Caenorhabditis elegans: one gene and its partners. The protein of the gene in region 2 interacts with the protein of the main gene of each other region in a pairwise test. Each region holds a gene or a part of one and is shown on either strand. Other genes may lie near its edges.

The links. Proteins that work in one complex are often made in the same cells at the same time.
Region 1: the proteins of sdz-12 (region 2) and hat-1 interact in a two-hybrid assay, tested with the Caenorhabditis elegans proteins (one large-scale study listed by BioGRID).
Region 3: the proteins of sdz-12 (region 2) and Y57A10B.6 interact in a two-hybrid assay, tested with the Caenorhabditis elegans proteins (one large-scale study listed by BioGRID).

Annotation. Positions count from the first base shown.
Region 1 is NC_003281.10:10,404,715-10,408,927, reverse strand, and holds hat-1 (Histone acetyltransferase type B catalytic subunit), read left to right. Parts: upstream 1-1,679; 5' UTR 1,680-1,686; coding exon 1,687-1,768; intron 1,769-1,813; coding exon 1,814-2,234; intron 2,235-2,281; coding exon 2,282-2,341; intron 2,342-2,420; coding exon 2,421-3,093; 3' UTR 3,094-3,680; downstream 3,681-4,213. Other genes in the region: M03C11.3 (PH domain-containing protein), read right to left, coding at 331-566, 641-665; ATP-dependent DNA helicase chl-1, read left to right, coding at 3,692-4,029, 4,091-4,193.
Region 2 is NC_003280.10:3,729,611-3,733,706, reverse strand, and holds sdz-12 (Zinc finger protein sdz-12), read left to right. Parts: upstream 1-1,883; 5' UTR 1,884-2,158; coding exon 2,159-2,275; intron 2,276-2,398; coding exon 2,399-2,455; intron 2,456-2,519; coding exon 2,520-2,660; intron 2,661-2,716; coding exon 2,717-2,935; intron 2,936-2,978; coding exon 2,979-3,158; intron 3,159-3,225; coding exon 3,226-3,324; intron 3,325-3,375; coding exon 3,376-3,555; downstream 3,556-4,096. Other genes in the region: bath-31 (BTB domain-containing protein), read right to left, coding at 630-749, 792-943, 988-1,523, 1,569-1,681. UniProt on the Caenorhabditis elegans protein: Together with ehn-3, may play a role in gonadogenesis.
Region 3 is NC_003280.10:12,388,106-12,393,195, forward strand, and holds Y57A10B.6 (SEC-C motif-containing protein), read left to right. Parts: upstream 1-1,977; 5' UTR 1,978-2,050; coding exon 2,051-2,116; intron 2,117-2,813; coding exon 2,814-3,404; intron 3,405-3,966; coding exon 3,967-4,266; intron 4,267-4,316; coding exon 4,317-4,472; 3' UTR 4,473-4,557; downstream 4,558-5,090. Other genes in the region: sre-41 (Serpentine Receptor, class E (Epsilon)), read left to right, coding at 188-663, 845-1,127, 1,355-1,488, 1,545-1,734; Y57A10B.7 (Gag protease polyprotein), read right to left, coding at 4,647-4,862, 4,922-5,090.

The DNA.
Region 1 (4,213 bases), on a different chromosome or scaffold from region 2:
TTTTTTTTACAAAATCGTTTTTAAAAATCTATTTAATGGAAAAATTAGTTTCAAAACATGTTTCTAATATATTTTTTCGACTAAATTAAATTAAAATCATGTTTTGATACATTTTATCGAGAAATTAGGTTAAAATCATTTTTAAAATTCTTTTTTTTTGACAAAATTGGTTGGAAATCATGTTTTTAGATTTTTTGGACAAAATTAGATTAAAACCTTTTTTAATCCATTTTTTCAACAAAACTAACTTAAAATTTAATTTTTATTTTATTTCTCCACAAAATCAGTTAGAAATCCAGTTTCTAGGGTTAAAAAACGCCAATTTTTTACCTCAATCTCTCGTTCATCGTCATTTGTATCACGTTGCTCAACAAATTGCGATAATCCTCCTCCATTTGAAGAAGAAGACGACGCATCGAACAATGAACGATCATGTTCCATACCAGGGAACGAGTGATGTGAGGCAGGAATTGTGCCACCTATTATCACCATACAATCCGATGGGATACTTCTGCTGATGTTGCTCGTATTTGAAAACGTTGTTGGTCCGAGGTTTTCCTTCAATTCTGATATGGATTAGAGGACATTTCACATGGAAAATCCGTGAAATTTCAGAAATTTTCAGTGGAATTTAATTTACCTGTTCTTGTCGAACGCTCATGCATTATTTGATGGTCTTCCCATCAACTTGTTGCTTGGAATCTTCTGAAAATTCGATTTTTTAAAAATGATTTTTGACAATTTTGAGCGGATTTGTGAGAGAAAATTCGATTGAAAAAAAATATTTTTACATTAAAACCGTTGAAAAAACCAATTCTTTTTGATATTTTTCAAAAAATTCCAATGAAATTTGGTTGTTTTCAACAAAAATATAACGGAAAAATGGTAAAATAGCAAAACTTTTATATAAATAGGAAAAATTTATAAATTTTGCGATGAAAAATCTCACAACGAGTTTTAAAAAACTTAATTTCTGATTTTAACAAAGTTTTAATTGAACAAAACAACAAAAATTCTCGAAAATCCGCCGAACTATGGAAATTAACTCTTTTTTATCTAATTATCGTGAGAAAACCGCGAAACCCGGGCAATTAGAGCAAAATAATGCGGTTTTGCGCCATTTTTCACAATAAAAATGAGACATTTTACGGGGAAAACGCTTGAAATTCGATATTTTTGTTTGTTTATAATTTTTATGATGCAACTAAACTTCACGAATCAACTTGATCAATCAATTTATCCGTTTTGGGATGAAAATTCCGGGAGATAAGCGAAAAATTTCTGAAAAATCGATAAAAATTCACCCGGAGGCGTGAAAAACAGCACGGATCCATCAGAAGATCCCTGGCAACGTGCCAACTCGCACGGCGTATTTCGAAAAAAGCGCGACGAGAGAGTGTGTGGCCGTGAGAGACGCGCGACACTCAGACAGTCGGAGAGAACGCCATCTCTTATGAGAGGTTGCGAAAGTCAACGGGTCTCGCCGCGAAGAGACACTTTTGTGTCGATTTACGAAGTGAGAAAGCCCGCGGGAAACTTTTTTAAATTTTATTCTTTTATTTTCGTCGGAATTCCTTCATTTTTTCTCATTTTCCACGCAAAATCGGTAAATAAATTGATTAAATATCGTCTTGTTTCGCGATTTTCAAGGTTCAATGGCGTTTTCAACTCTTTAACAGTTTCAGCATGGTTATGGAGGACGTCACGAATGTCAATCGCAATCGGAGATACATTTCCGACGGACTTGCTGTCGTTAAAATGACATTTTGTAAGAGTTTAACCGAATTTTCGCTTGAAAGTTCCCATTTTTCAGTAAAAAACATGCAAGAAATCAGTACTGCGCCACGCTACGAACCAGAGATGGTCTATCAGCATTTCGGAGATGAGGAGACAATCTTCGGCTACGAAGATCTCGAGGTTACCATCCATCACACAGCTCAAACCCTCTACAGCTACATAAACGTGAGCTATTCCTCAAAAGCGAAAAACGAAAACGGACTGGAGGCCGATGACGTCATTGATAAGCTGGTTCATCCAGACGTTCGTCCGAATGTTCTGGTTTCGGGAAAAGAAGAATTCCAGCAGAAGCTCATCAAACAGAAGGATTTCAAGCCTTTCGGTGAGATGGTACACAAGTTTGAGCTGAAAGGAAAGAGCTACGAGGTCTACAAAGTCGCCGAGCAAACCGAAGAGTTCAACCTTTTCCTAGAAAGAATCCAGACTCTCGGCATGTTGTGAGTGCTTAAAAAATAAGGATTTTCCTACAAAATTTTTTTTTCAGCTTCATCGAGTGCTGCTCACTGACAGATAACACTGAAGACAATTGGCTTCACTATTTTATGTAAGTTGAGAAGATTTCGCGGCGAATTCCAGAAATTACAAAAAATCGAACGCATTTCAAATATTTTTCAATTTTCCAGCTACGAACGCTGCGACACCGGTGAAGGAGATGGAAGTACTGTGGCCAACGTGGCTGGCTACGCGACACTCTTCAAATTCTACAACTACATTGACAGGATCCGTCCACGAATTGCACAGATGCTATTGCTCCCTCAATACAGAAAATCTGGAATTGGAGCCAGTTTCATGGAATCTTTCCTGCGAGATCTTCGTGCCTCTCCAGAAGTTTTCGACGTAACCGTCGAGTCTCCCGGAGATCAGTTCGTCAGCCTCCGTGACTATGTGGATTGTGTCAACTGCATGACACTGCGGGAATTTGCACCGGAGAATCTCAAGAGGGGATACTCGGACAAAATGCGTCAGGCCGCACTGGAAAAGCTCAAGATTTCCAGACAACAAGCCCGTCGAGTCTATGAAATTTTGCGTTATCGTGCTACAAATAAGAAGGATAAAGAAGAGCTGAAAGCGCAGAGAATCGATGTGAAACGTCGGTTGTATGCACCAATGAAGAAATCGGATCAGGACTGGAAGCGTCTGAATCTCGCGTTGACACCCGATGAGCTTCGACAAGCGGCCTGTGGACAAATGGATGAGGAAACCAAGTTCTCGACGCTCTCACAGAATTATGATCGGCTTATGGAGGCCTATCAAAAAACTATTGATCGAATTGAGCAGCATCCAAGCATTTTTTAATCGTTGTATCTGTATCTTATTTTAATTTGAAATTACATGTGGGATTTTTGTATTTTTTTTAAAGCTAATTACCACGAAATTCGTCTAAATTTGCTGTAAATTTGCAAAATTCCCTTGCCGTTATTACCCATACGCGAAATTTTGCGCCAAAAGTACGGTATCCGGTCTCGAAGAGAAAAATGTATGATAAATGCGAAAAAGTGTGCGCCTTTAACGATTTTTATCAGGTTTTCATAGTTTTTCCCAGCATTTGTTAAAGTTTTTTTGGGTTTTGATTGTGATCTACGAAAAATCGACGAAAATCCGCAATAGCAAAAGTTTGAAGCTACAGTACTCTTTAAAGGCGCACAAATTTTCGCGTTTAACAAACATGTTTCGTTGCGAGACCAGGCACCGTATTTTTGGCGTGAAAATCGCTTTGGGTCCTATTTGACTTATTGTGAATGTTTCATGAATTTTTCCGCTCTCTAAACTCTCAGCTAAAAATCGAATTCCCAGTTGAAAATCCCGAATATATTTTTATCTTCTTATATATTATTCTTCAATTACAAAAAAAAAACTCACCGAAATAAATGATCTCTCACTCTATCCCAGCAGAATGGACGAATTCTCATTTCCATTTCAACCATACGACATTCAACTCAATTTGATGCGAGAAATCCGCCAATGCATTGAACAACGGAAAATTGGCATTTTCGAATCTCCAACAGGCACCGGAAAGTCGCTCAGCGTGTTGTGCTCGACGATGACGTGGCTGGAAGCTGAAGAACTACGAATTTCGACTGATTTGAGCACACGGCTCGGGGAGGTTCACACGAAAATCACGGAATGCGATAAAATCACCACCGCCGACAATTGGGAGACGGCAGTTCGTGAGAAAATGCGAGCTCAAGACGTAGAGACGGAGATTTTGGAGCAAATTCAGAGTCGGGAAAGGTGTTGGAAATTGAATAATTATTCTTTTTTAATTTTTTTTTAAATGAAAAAAATCATTCAGATTGCAGTCACGAATCGATCAAGCCCGGCGAGGAATGGTCGAGGTCTCCAGAAAGAGAAAAGCCCCGGCCAGGGATACGGATCAGTTTCTCGAACCTCAAGATGTAATAATTGAACTTTTATC
Region 2 (4,096 bases):
CATTTACAATGATTATCCCCACTCTAGCCCAGAGCTACTAATGCCTAATTCAGCCGAGGAATCTGATGTTCATGGCATGCGTGCCTATCGAATTAAAAACATTCATGGAACTTTTTCTATTTGGAGGTTCTGATTTCTTTATTCCATCGTTTTTTCTAATCAACACTACTTCTATTTACGACGACGACGACGAGTTACTGTCAAACACCGTCCGACGATTGAAATCTTCAATTTTTTCCAGTTTTTGAGATTTTTTTCGAGTCTTTCGAATTAAGCTTATTTTCGAAACCTCTAACTTCTTATTTTTCTATGTTTTTGAACTTCACTTTTCAAAACTATATTTTTAAACTCCACAAAATATAACTATGTATATGTCTTATCAAAATACTTTATGAAATGCTAGATAAAAGTTTCTTGAATTCTTGACTTGACTTTTTCTGGTTTGGTCTGGTTCATGATTTGAATTTCTTCTGTAAGTCTTCAAATTTTCTCATCAATATAATATAAAGAAAACGTAAATTTATTTTTTGTACTGGCAAATAAAACTTTACAATTGAAAACAGAGAAAAAATAGTGGCCAAAAATCAGTTATTAGAAAAATGCAATTCATATTTGAAAACGAACAATTTTTAAACTTCAAGAACTCGCTTCAAGACCCGCTTCATCAGGAATGGGCTCATTTCATCAATGTTTCCAGCGATAATTGAGCGGACATCTTGGATGGTTTTGATGGTGTTGCAGCAGTGAATCTGGAAGATAAAATAAGGTTATATTCAGGTGCACGCACTTACCTCTAGTTTCTCCAACTTGTATCTAATTGCCAATTCCAATTTCTTTTTCCCGGACTTCTCGGACTCCTTGTAAAGAAATTTCTCGCATTTCCCAATAACCGCTCTAGAATCGTACATGTCAGCAAGTTGAAGGATTCCTTCGACGGTATTGTCTGAAATTTTTAAATTATTACCAATGTGAGCACTAAAAACTAACCATCAATCGAGTCCTCCAAATAGAGAACTTCCAAAAATGCCTGGAAGGCTTCCGGGTCTATCCCAGAGAGGGTAACCTCTGATTTCTTCGACTCGCCGAAACTGCCAAAGAACAAGGATTTGAAGTAGGAGCACTGCAGAGCGAGATGCTTTCTCAGAACATGAAATCTCTGCTCATCCACTACCAAAACCACATCGGACAGCTCTCCCATAGACTCATTGTCGAACTTCAAAACCGGATCTCTTCCCTTGAACCCAGAAGCGTTCAATATTTGAACATGAACTTTAAAGTGTAGCGCATCTTCAATCACAAAGTTTTTTGCGACTTTCTCCCAATCGGCAAACTGCTTCCATCCCCATGAGTTTTCCTTCGGCTTCTCACTATTGAAATTTACAGTGGCTGTTTTGCAGTGGGGAGATTCATTGGGAGATCTAAGCTTCACTTCAACATTCGCCTGAACTGACCAAATTGTGCCAAGTTGGTCGCAACTAAGATACACCTCAAGTTGATCAGTTCTTCGATTGACATGGAGTTTCCTGGAAATATAAAAATTTAAATAAAAAAAGGAAAGTTAAAAATACCATGGAATATAGTAATATTCTTTAACCTCGCTGCAATAAGTGGTATCCGGCTTGAAGTTGGAGATTGCTTTAATAGTGTAAGTTGACACAAATTCCTTTGTTATAACGAGCATGTCTACTAACCTACTAAATTGCAGAAAAATGACGAATAGGAAGACTTGTAGAGGCAGATTATGAGTGAATAACGCTAGGAGATAATCTTAGTGGATCGATAAAATAATGCATAATGCAGCGTCTCGTTTCCCGGCAAATTTGGCACAGTTGGCAGCTGGTCTTCCAAAAATGTTGTGAATTTTGTTAAAGATTACAATATTCCCCCCAAAGAAGGTGCATCGTCAATGGAGAAATTACTGAAAAAACTGAGATACTGAAAAACTCAATCAGCTCTACAATGTGCAATTACACACATTTCATAAATTCGTCGGCCCCGCTTCTCCAAAAGCCCCAACGTCATATGTGACGCAACTTCTCACAGCTTTCGAGGACACAGTCTTTGAACTTATGTACCTCTTTTTGCAACTACGCAAAAACATTTCTCACTCCCCTTCCTCCCTGCCCTCGGACAATCCGCAGAGATTTCTTCTGTGAAAATGAGTTTGTCATCACTAGACGCCGTATTGTCGCTTATTGCAACCTCTTCCACTTTGGATCAGGATTCTGCTAAGGTGCCCCAGTGTCAAGTTTGCAAAAGAAAGTTCGCGAATCAGGTTAGTTTTTGAAGTGAGCAAAAAAGTGTTGTTAATTTATCTTAATTTTACAAAATTTACTGTACAGCAGATAATCTTCCTTTTTTTGCTAGTTAGTATATAGAGCTCACTACCATTTTTCAGAAAACGCTGAGAACGCACATGAAGCACATTACGTGTAGGCCTGGACGTTCCAATGTGGTGAGTTTTTGAGAAAATGTTTAAGCCACTGAGCTTCTCCTCCTCCAACTATACGTTTTTTCAGGTCAATCACAAATTCAGATGTGAAAATTGTGAGAAACAATTCACCAACAAGCCAAACTTGAAGCGTCATCAAATAACTCACTCTGGTTCAAAATCCAAGAAGTGCAGCACTTGCCAGAGAACATTCTTCAGGGAAGATCAGGCAAGCAGATTTTATTCCATTTTTCCTGTTCAATTCCAGCAATTTGTAATTTTCAGCTTCAAAGGCACCTGCACAACCATCTCAAGGAAAGATCACATTTCGACTGTCCCGTGTTGAACTGTTCAATGCAGTTCGTATTCTATGAGGGCGTTGAAAATCATCTCGTAAACCATCACCACTTTTCATACAGCGAATCGGCTCCGTGTGGAAAATGCCACAAGTTATTCGGGAGTCCTAGGCATCTCCTGGTACACTACCATTTTGATCATAAAGAGGTGAAAAGCTTTATAATTCTTTAAGACTTAACAATCCTTTCAGGCTCTGCGCTCTTCGGCTCCTGCTCCCACAAGCTCCGCCAGACTGTCACCTATCACCGTATCAACTTCAGGAAGTCCCAGAGCTCAGTTGGCAATCTCGCCACAAGAGAAGCCGCCTCAAAAATTGAGCATAAATCTAGGAACTTCCCCGATGATCGAAGAATTCTGTGAACAGAACTCGGTATGTTTTCATTTTCAATATTGGTTTTGGTGCCGTTCTTTGAAACCATTAGACTTGAAATTTTCAGGCAACTCTTCCAAACACTGATCAACAGCTCTCACCAACTCTAAGCCCCAATGAGCCAAGGTTTAGAAATCTAATTACCAGTGAGCCAACCCCAAGCTTTGTAAGTTCTTAAGTTTCAAAGTACACTTTCATCAACTCAAAAGCTCTTCAGGAATGCAAGCACTGCACGATCAAGTTCCACGATGCCACAATGAGCATCATGCATAACGCCCTTCACGCGCCAGGAAGCCCATTCAAATGTGCAATTTGTGGAGCAGAATGTGGAAATAAGATCGTGTTCACCATGCACATCATCACTGCGAGTCATGATTTTGGTGGCATAGGAACTTAATTGATAAGATTCTACTGCTTAATTAATATTTTTTCTTGTTAAAAGTACTCAATGAATCTCGTTCTCGCCCTTGAAGGAAACTGATAATTGTTGATAACTACGGTAACCTACAGTACCCTATTCTATCGTGATCACTGATTTTATGGAGTAATCAAACAATTAGTTGGTCTTCAGAATACAGGACTGGTAGATCAAACTACGCATAGTTTCTTTTTCTATCTACATCTTCTTCACTCTCCTTCCCATTTGCTCTCTGCCAATACCGCGCGCCAAATCGATAATTGCGCCCCACCAAAACACTCTGCGCGGGTTCATTTATTCCTTCACCTCTACTCTCTTATCAATGGACCTGCCTGAAGCTCAAGCTCTTGTGCCAGTTTATTCTCAGGTACTGTAAAATTTTCACAAATTAATTAATAAAGGATCCATTTTTTTTCAGGAATTGCGCAAGGTGCAACAGTTCAAGTAATTACATTCTCAGAAATCTCTGAGCAATCACATACGGAACACCAAATGTGGACTTGGGCTGTCTTCTTACGAA
Region 3 (5,090 bases), 8.7 Mb from region 2:
TGAATACAAAATACACATGAAAATATTTCTAGTCTCATTAGGAAATTCATTTTTCATTTTTAAAAAAATTGCTGACGCATTTCTCAAGCACAAACATCTGCTTGCAAGTTTCACTCATTTCTTTTTTCGTTTGCTTCAAGCTCATCACTCTTCACAATTTTTTGTTATTTTTCAGAGAACATATAATATGATCATAGCATTTTTAAACTCTACAGAAACTCTATGGATTCCAGTTTTCTCTTTAAACGACAGAGTTTACGAGTCCCCAATTTACCCTTTTTTCGCAGCAATCCAAATTCTCATTTACTGCTCCACGGCATATATTATTGTAAGAACTTGCAAAATCATCACAAAAATTCGACTTTTCCACGAGAACAAGAACATTTTAATGGCGTTCTTTTTGTGCCAATGGTTTGAGGCGATTCTCGCCAAAATTCTTATACTTCCCTATCAAATTGGCTTAATTCAAATCGGAAATTCACCCGGAAAATCATATTTTTCCTGGTGGAGCAGCGGACGAAATGATATGGTTTTGGTGGAGAGCACTGATGATATAAGGGTATTGTACATAGCATGCTATGTTTACAGACATTATATGTTTTCCATGTTTTTTGGAATTATGGCTATTGGTGTGGAAAGAGCATGTGCGACGTTTTATATTCAGTGAGTTTTTTGAAAATTCAAATTTGAAAATTAGTCTTAAAATCTTAATCTCTGAAAAAAATTAGACCAAATTTAATTTTTTTGATGAAATAAATTTTAAGTTATGCTCCAAAGTATTTTAACATTTTAAAATTTCCAATTTGGCGCCAGATACAGGAACGTTCAATTGTATATTTTCCAGCGACTACGAGCACGTACGCCGTCGCCATATCCCAGTAATCCTTATCATACTAGTTAATATTATTACAATTCCATATGTCTATTTTGTGATCCATAACCGGATACCATTCCTCGTAGTTTATGGTCAATGGGCGGTTTGCATTGTGTTATCCACGTCAGCCTACGCTACAATTCTTCGAATCAATTTCGTGTTCCGAAATCAGATGCGGAAGAATATAACCGACCATGAAAAATATTCATTGGCGAGAAAGTTTCAAGTTGAGGAGAATATTCGAAGCTTGAAGGTGAGGAAAAGTTAGGCCAGCGAAAGCAAGACCGAGGATGTTGTCTAGCAAAAGTTAGGCCATCAATTGTGTACCCAAAGTCCTAGAAAAGTCAAAAATTCATAAAGTCATGCTATTTTTGTCTCGGCCAAATTTTTAACTTTACAAAAGTTAGGCCATCCCATCAGCTTTCGTTTAGAAAAACCTTGGCCAGCGAAAAGTTAGGCCAACGAACTTCTCTCTTCCAGCTCGCCAAGTACACAGTTCTCGTGGGCTCCGTGCACATTTCCCTAACTCTCCTCGTGTTCACCTGCCTCATGCTCGGATTCTTCGAAAGACTTCAAGTGTTCTTCGTTCACATACTAGAGAATCTCATCTTATTGTGAGTCGATTCACCATAATTTTTCAACAAAATTAATTAAAAAAAAAAAATTTCAGACCAGCCTTAGTAATGGCAGTTGCTCTTTTATGTTGCTCGGTGGCTTGGCGACACGAGTTCATGCAAAAGTTGCCGGTATTGGGGAAACATATTAGTGGGACATCGAGAATTGGGATTTCGGAGTCTAGGAGATCAGTTGTTTTGGAATCTGAAGTGTATTTCCAGCAATTGAGAAGCTCGTGGAACTGAAATTTGTTGTCATAGCTGAGGTTTTATAATTGTGTTTTTTTTGGAATTGTTTAAAAATTTTTAGGCTCCGAAAAAATATTTTTCATAAATTTTTGAAATATTCCCTCCTGTTTTTTCTCCGTCCATCTGCCAAGTTAGCACCCCCAACAGCCATAAAATGTACTTACCCGCAACTTGGTACATACCCTCTTCCCGCCTGCGCTTGTAAAAAACTGGGTGGAGTCTCTCTCAATGTACCAAGTTAGTCTCAATGGCGTGTATTCGGTGTAATTCCTCTATTTTTCTGTCTCACTCTCTGCAATCTTCTCGGTGGAAAATGAACGACACAGAATATACGGCTCATATTCTCGCGAGAACCATCAGGACTGGAGACGATAAATTGGTAAGTTTTAAAAAAAAAAAATTTAAAATTAATCTTTCATACAACTGGTTGGTGTTTGGAAAATAGAAAAAAAACAAGTTTTTGGCGAATTTTTGAACTGAAAATTTTATTTAAAAAAAATTAAGCTTTGAATTTTTTAGTCTTGGAATAAAAAGATTCTCAATGCTTCAATGAACAACTTTTTTTTTTGAAATTTTTTGAATGCAATTTGAAAAAGTTACAAAGAAAAGTTGTTCAAAAAAACATTGCCATGTGTGGAATTTTTTTTTGCAAGCCACCTAAAATTTAAAAAAATCTACAAATTTTCAAAGCTTTTATATGTATTTTTTAATTAGAAACGTTTATTAAAAAACTCAAAATATTGATGTTTGGAAAAATAAATTTAAAAAAAAACATTTTAAAAACTGAAATTGTAAGGAAAGTATTTTTTAGAATTTTTTGGGCGGATTTTTGAATTCAACCAAGAACTCATTTTTTGAACGAACATTCATTTGAAATTTGACATGATATTTTGTGGGTTAAAAATTGTTTTTTTCACTCAACTATTGAAACCTCAAAGTTCAAAAGTTAAGTGAAAATCTGGAAAAAGTTTGAAAAAGTTTCTAGAAAACCAGATTTTTTGCAAGCAGCGTGAATTTTTTAAAATGAAATTCAGAAAATCGTCCCATAATTTCCTTAATCGTCCCATAATTTCCAGATAACCAAAGCCTTCTCACAGCTGAAATTTGGCACTGTACCTATGGATATCCTGGAGCAACACAACTTCCCATACATTGTGCAGCGACATGCTCCAAACAACCAGCTAGCACTCTCCATGGCCTCCAACTATCAAAACTTTAAACTCCAAAAAATCGAACACGAAAAGCCTTGGATGTTGAAACGGTTTGCTGACAGTACTTTCGAGGAGTACCCCGACGGAATAGTCTCGGTGCACACGCTGAAGCTGCTCACCGCCGTCTCCTTCTTCACCGACCTGGACTTTGTGAAATGCTCATTTTCCATTCTGAGCAGGCTTGACCTGTTGGTTGAGGATTTTGAGAAGTATGGAATTCTGGAAAGAGCCAAAGTTTTTGAGCATCAAATTCAAGAAGCCGCATGGCTGGTGCGAAAATATCAACGTCTGAAAGATGAGGTAGAGTCTGAAGTCGAGGAGGAATCGGAGGAGACTGAAGTTGCTCCAAGTTTGGACAGAAGGTATCCACCTATACACGGAGATTTTACACATAATAGGATGGAAATCGAGATGATATTTTTGGCTCAGTGCATTAAAGCAGGAAATGAGGAAATGGTAGGGGTTTTTGATAGATATTTTTTTTCAGAACCTTCAGAGATTTTTCAAAAACTATTGAAGACTTCTCGCCGAAATTCTACAAAAAATTGGCGATTAACTGAAATTTTAATAATTATGAAATTTGGGCCCACTTCAGTTTGAAGGTATTGAAGCTTAAAAAAATTTAGGCTCAGGTTAAGGATTAGACTTAGGCTTAGGCTTTGGCTTAAGCTTGAGCTTAGGCTTAAGCTTGAGCTTAGGCTTAGGCTTAACCTTACAAATGTTAGGTTTAGTCTTATGTGTAGGCTTAAAATAAGGCTTAGAATAAGGCTTATGATGTGGCTTCTGATTAAACGTATGATTAGGCTTATGCGTAGGCTTGGGCTAAGGCTTAGGGCCTGTCTTAGACTTAGCGTAGGTTTCCGCTTAGGCTTAAGCATAGGCTTACGATTAGTCATATGCTTAAGCTTAGGTTTAGGGCTTCGGCTTAATTAATCCATAATTAAGAAAATCCGAGAATATACTTTTAAAACTCCAAAACCTCCGTCAACTTCTCCAAAAAACATTGAAAAATTTCCAGATATCCACCGCCATAGAATTTGTCGGTACAGACGAGCTGCCGCTGGAATTCTACCGAAAATACGACATTGCTCTTTCGTGTCACCTCTACTGCCCAGAACAGGAAGATTGCAAGCACCTGATCGACTTTATCGAAGAGATGGAAGAAGTCGGTATGCAATGGGAGAATTTGGAAGCTCTGGAAAGATACTTACGCGAGAACTCGGAGCTCGGGCTTGTGCCCGATAGTGTGATGACGCTTTTGATGGGATATTTCAAAGGTGATAGGTACTTGGGTGATGAGGATTGGAAGGACTATTTTGTAAGTTTTGGAAGCTTGCAAAATGTTTAAATAAAGCTTTTTGTCTTCAGGTCGACCCAATTTGCAACTTCTTCCTGTCACAGGACGTCTCGCTGGATCAATTCGAACGATTCGATGTGAAGAATATTCTTGTCAAATTTGAAGAACGAGCAACTAAACCTGTGAAGCTTGTGCTGCAGAAGATTGAAGATCTCAAGTCCGCTTAATCGAAAATAATTTATTTGAACCTGTTTTTCCAAAGTTTTTGGTTTTAATATCATTAAATGAAATGTGTTTTACTCCTGAATTTCTAATTTCTGAAAAAAGAACAAAACAATTAAAATAAAATATAATAGTTCTGAAAAAAAAATCAGAAAATCTTTATCATGCTCATAATCAAATCAATATCCAAAAAGACGTTTAAACGATTCGAACATTTTCTGGCCCGACGGAACTTGCTGGTTTTTGGTGATTTTCAACGGAATCCCGTGGTCCTTCATTTCCAAATCAGGCAGGATGAAGCCAACAAGCCCGGCTTGATTGTTGAGATTGTCATCGACTTTTTCCGCGTGAATTTTCCGGACCAGGCTGATTTTTGCACGTGGACTATCGTTTTCCTGAAAATTTGAAATATGAGTTTGAAACATTTGAAAAATTTGCAATGAATTTTCGCGACCTCTCTAGCCTTGACAACTTTCAGCTCCACATCCATTCTTCCACTGGACACTATGAGCTTCTCGATATCCGCCACCATTTCCTCCAGAAACTTCTGCTCCACCTCGAACCGCTTGGAAAATTCCACTTTCTTGCTTTGGGTCGAGCTTTGTGGCGGGTGATGCATTGCC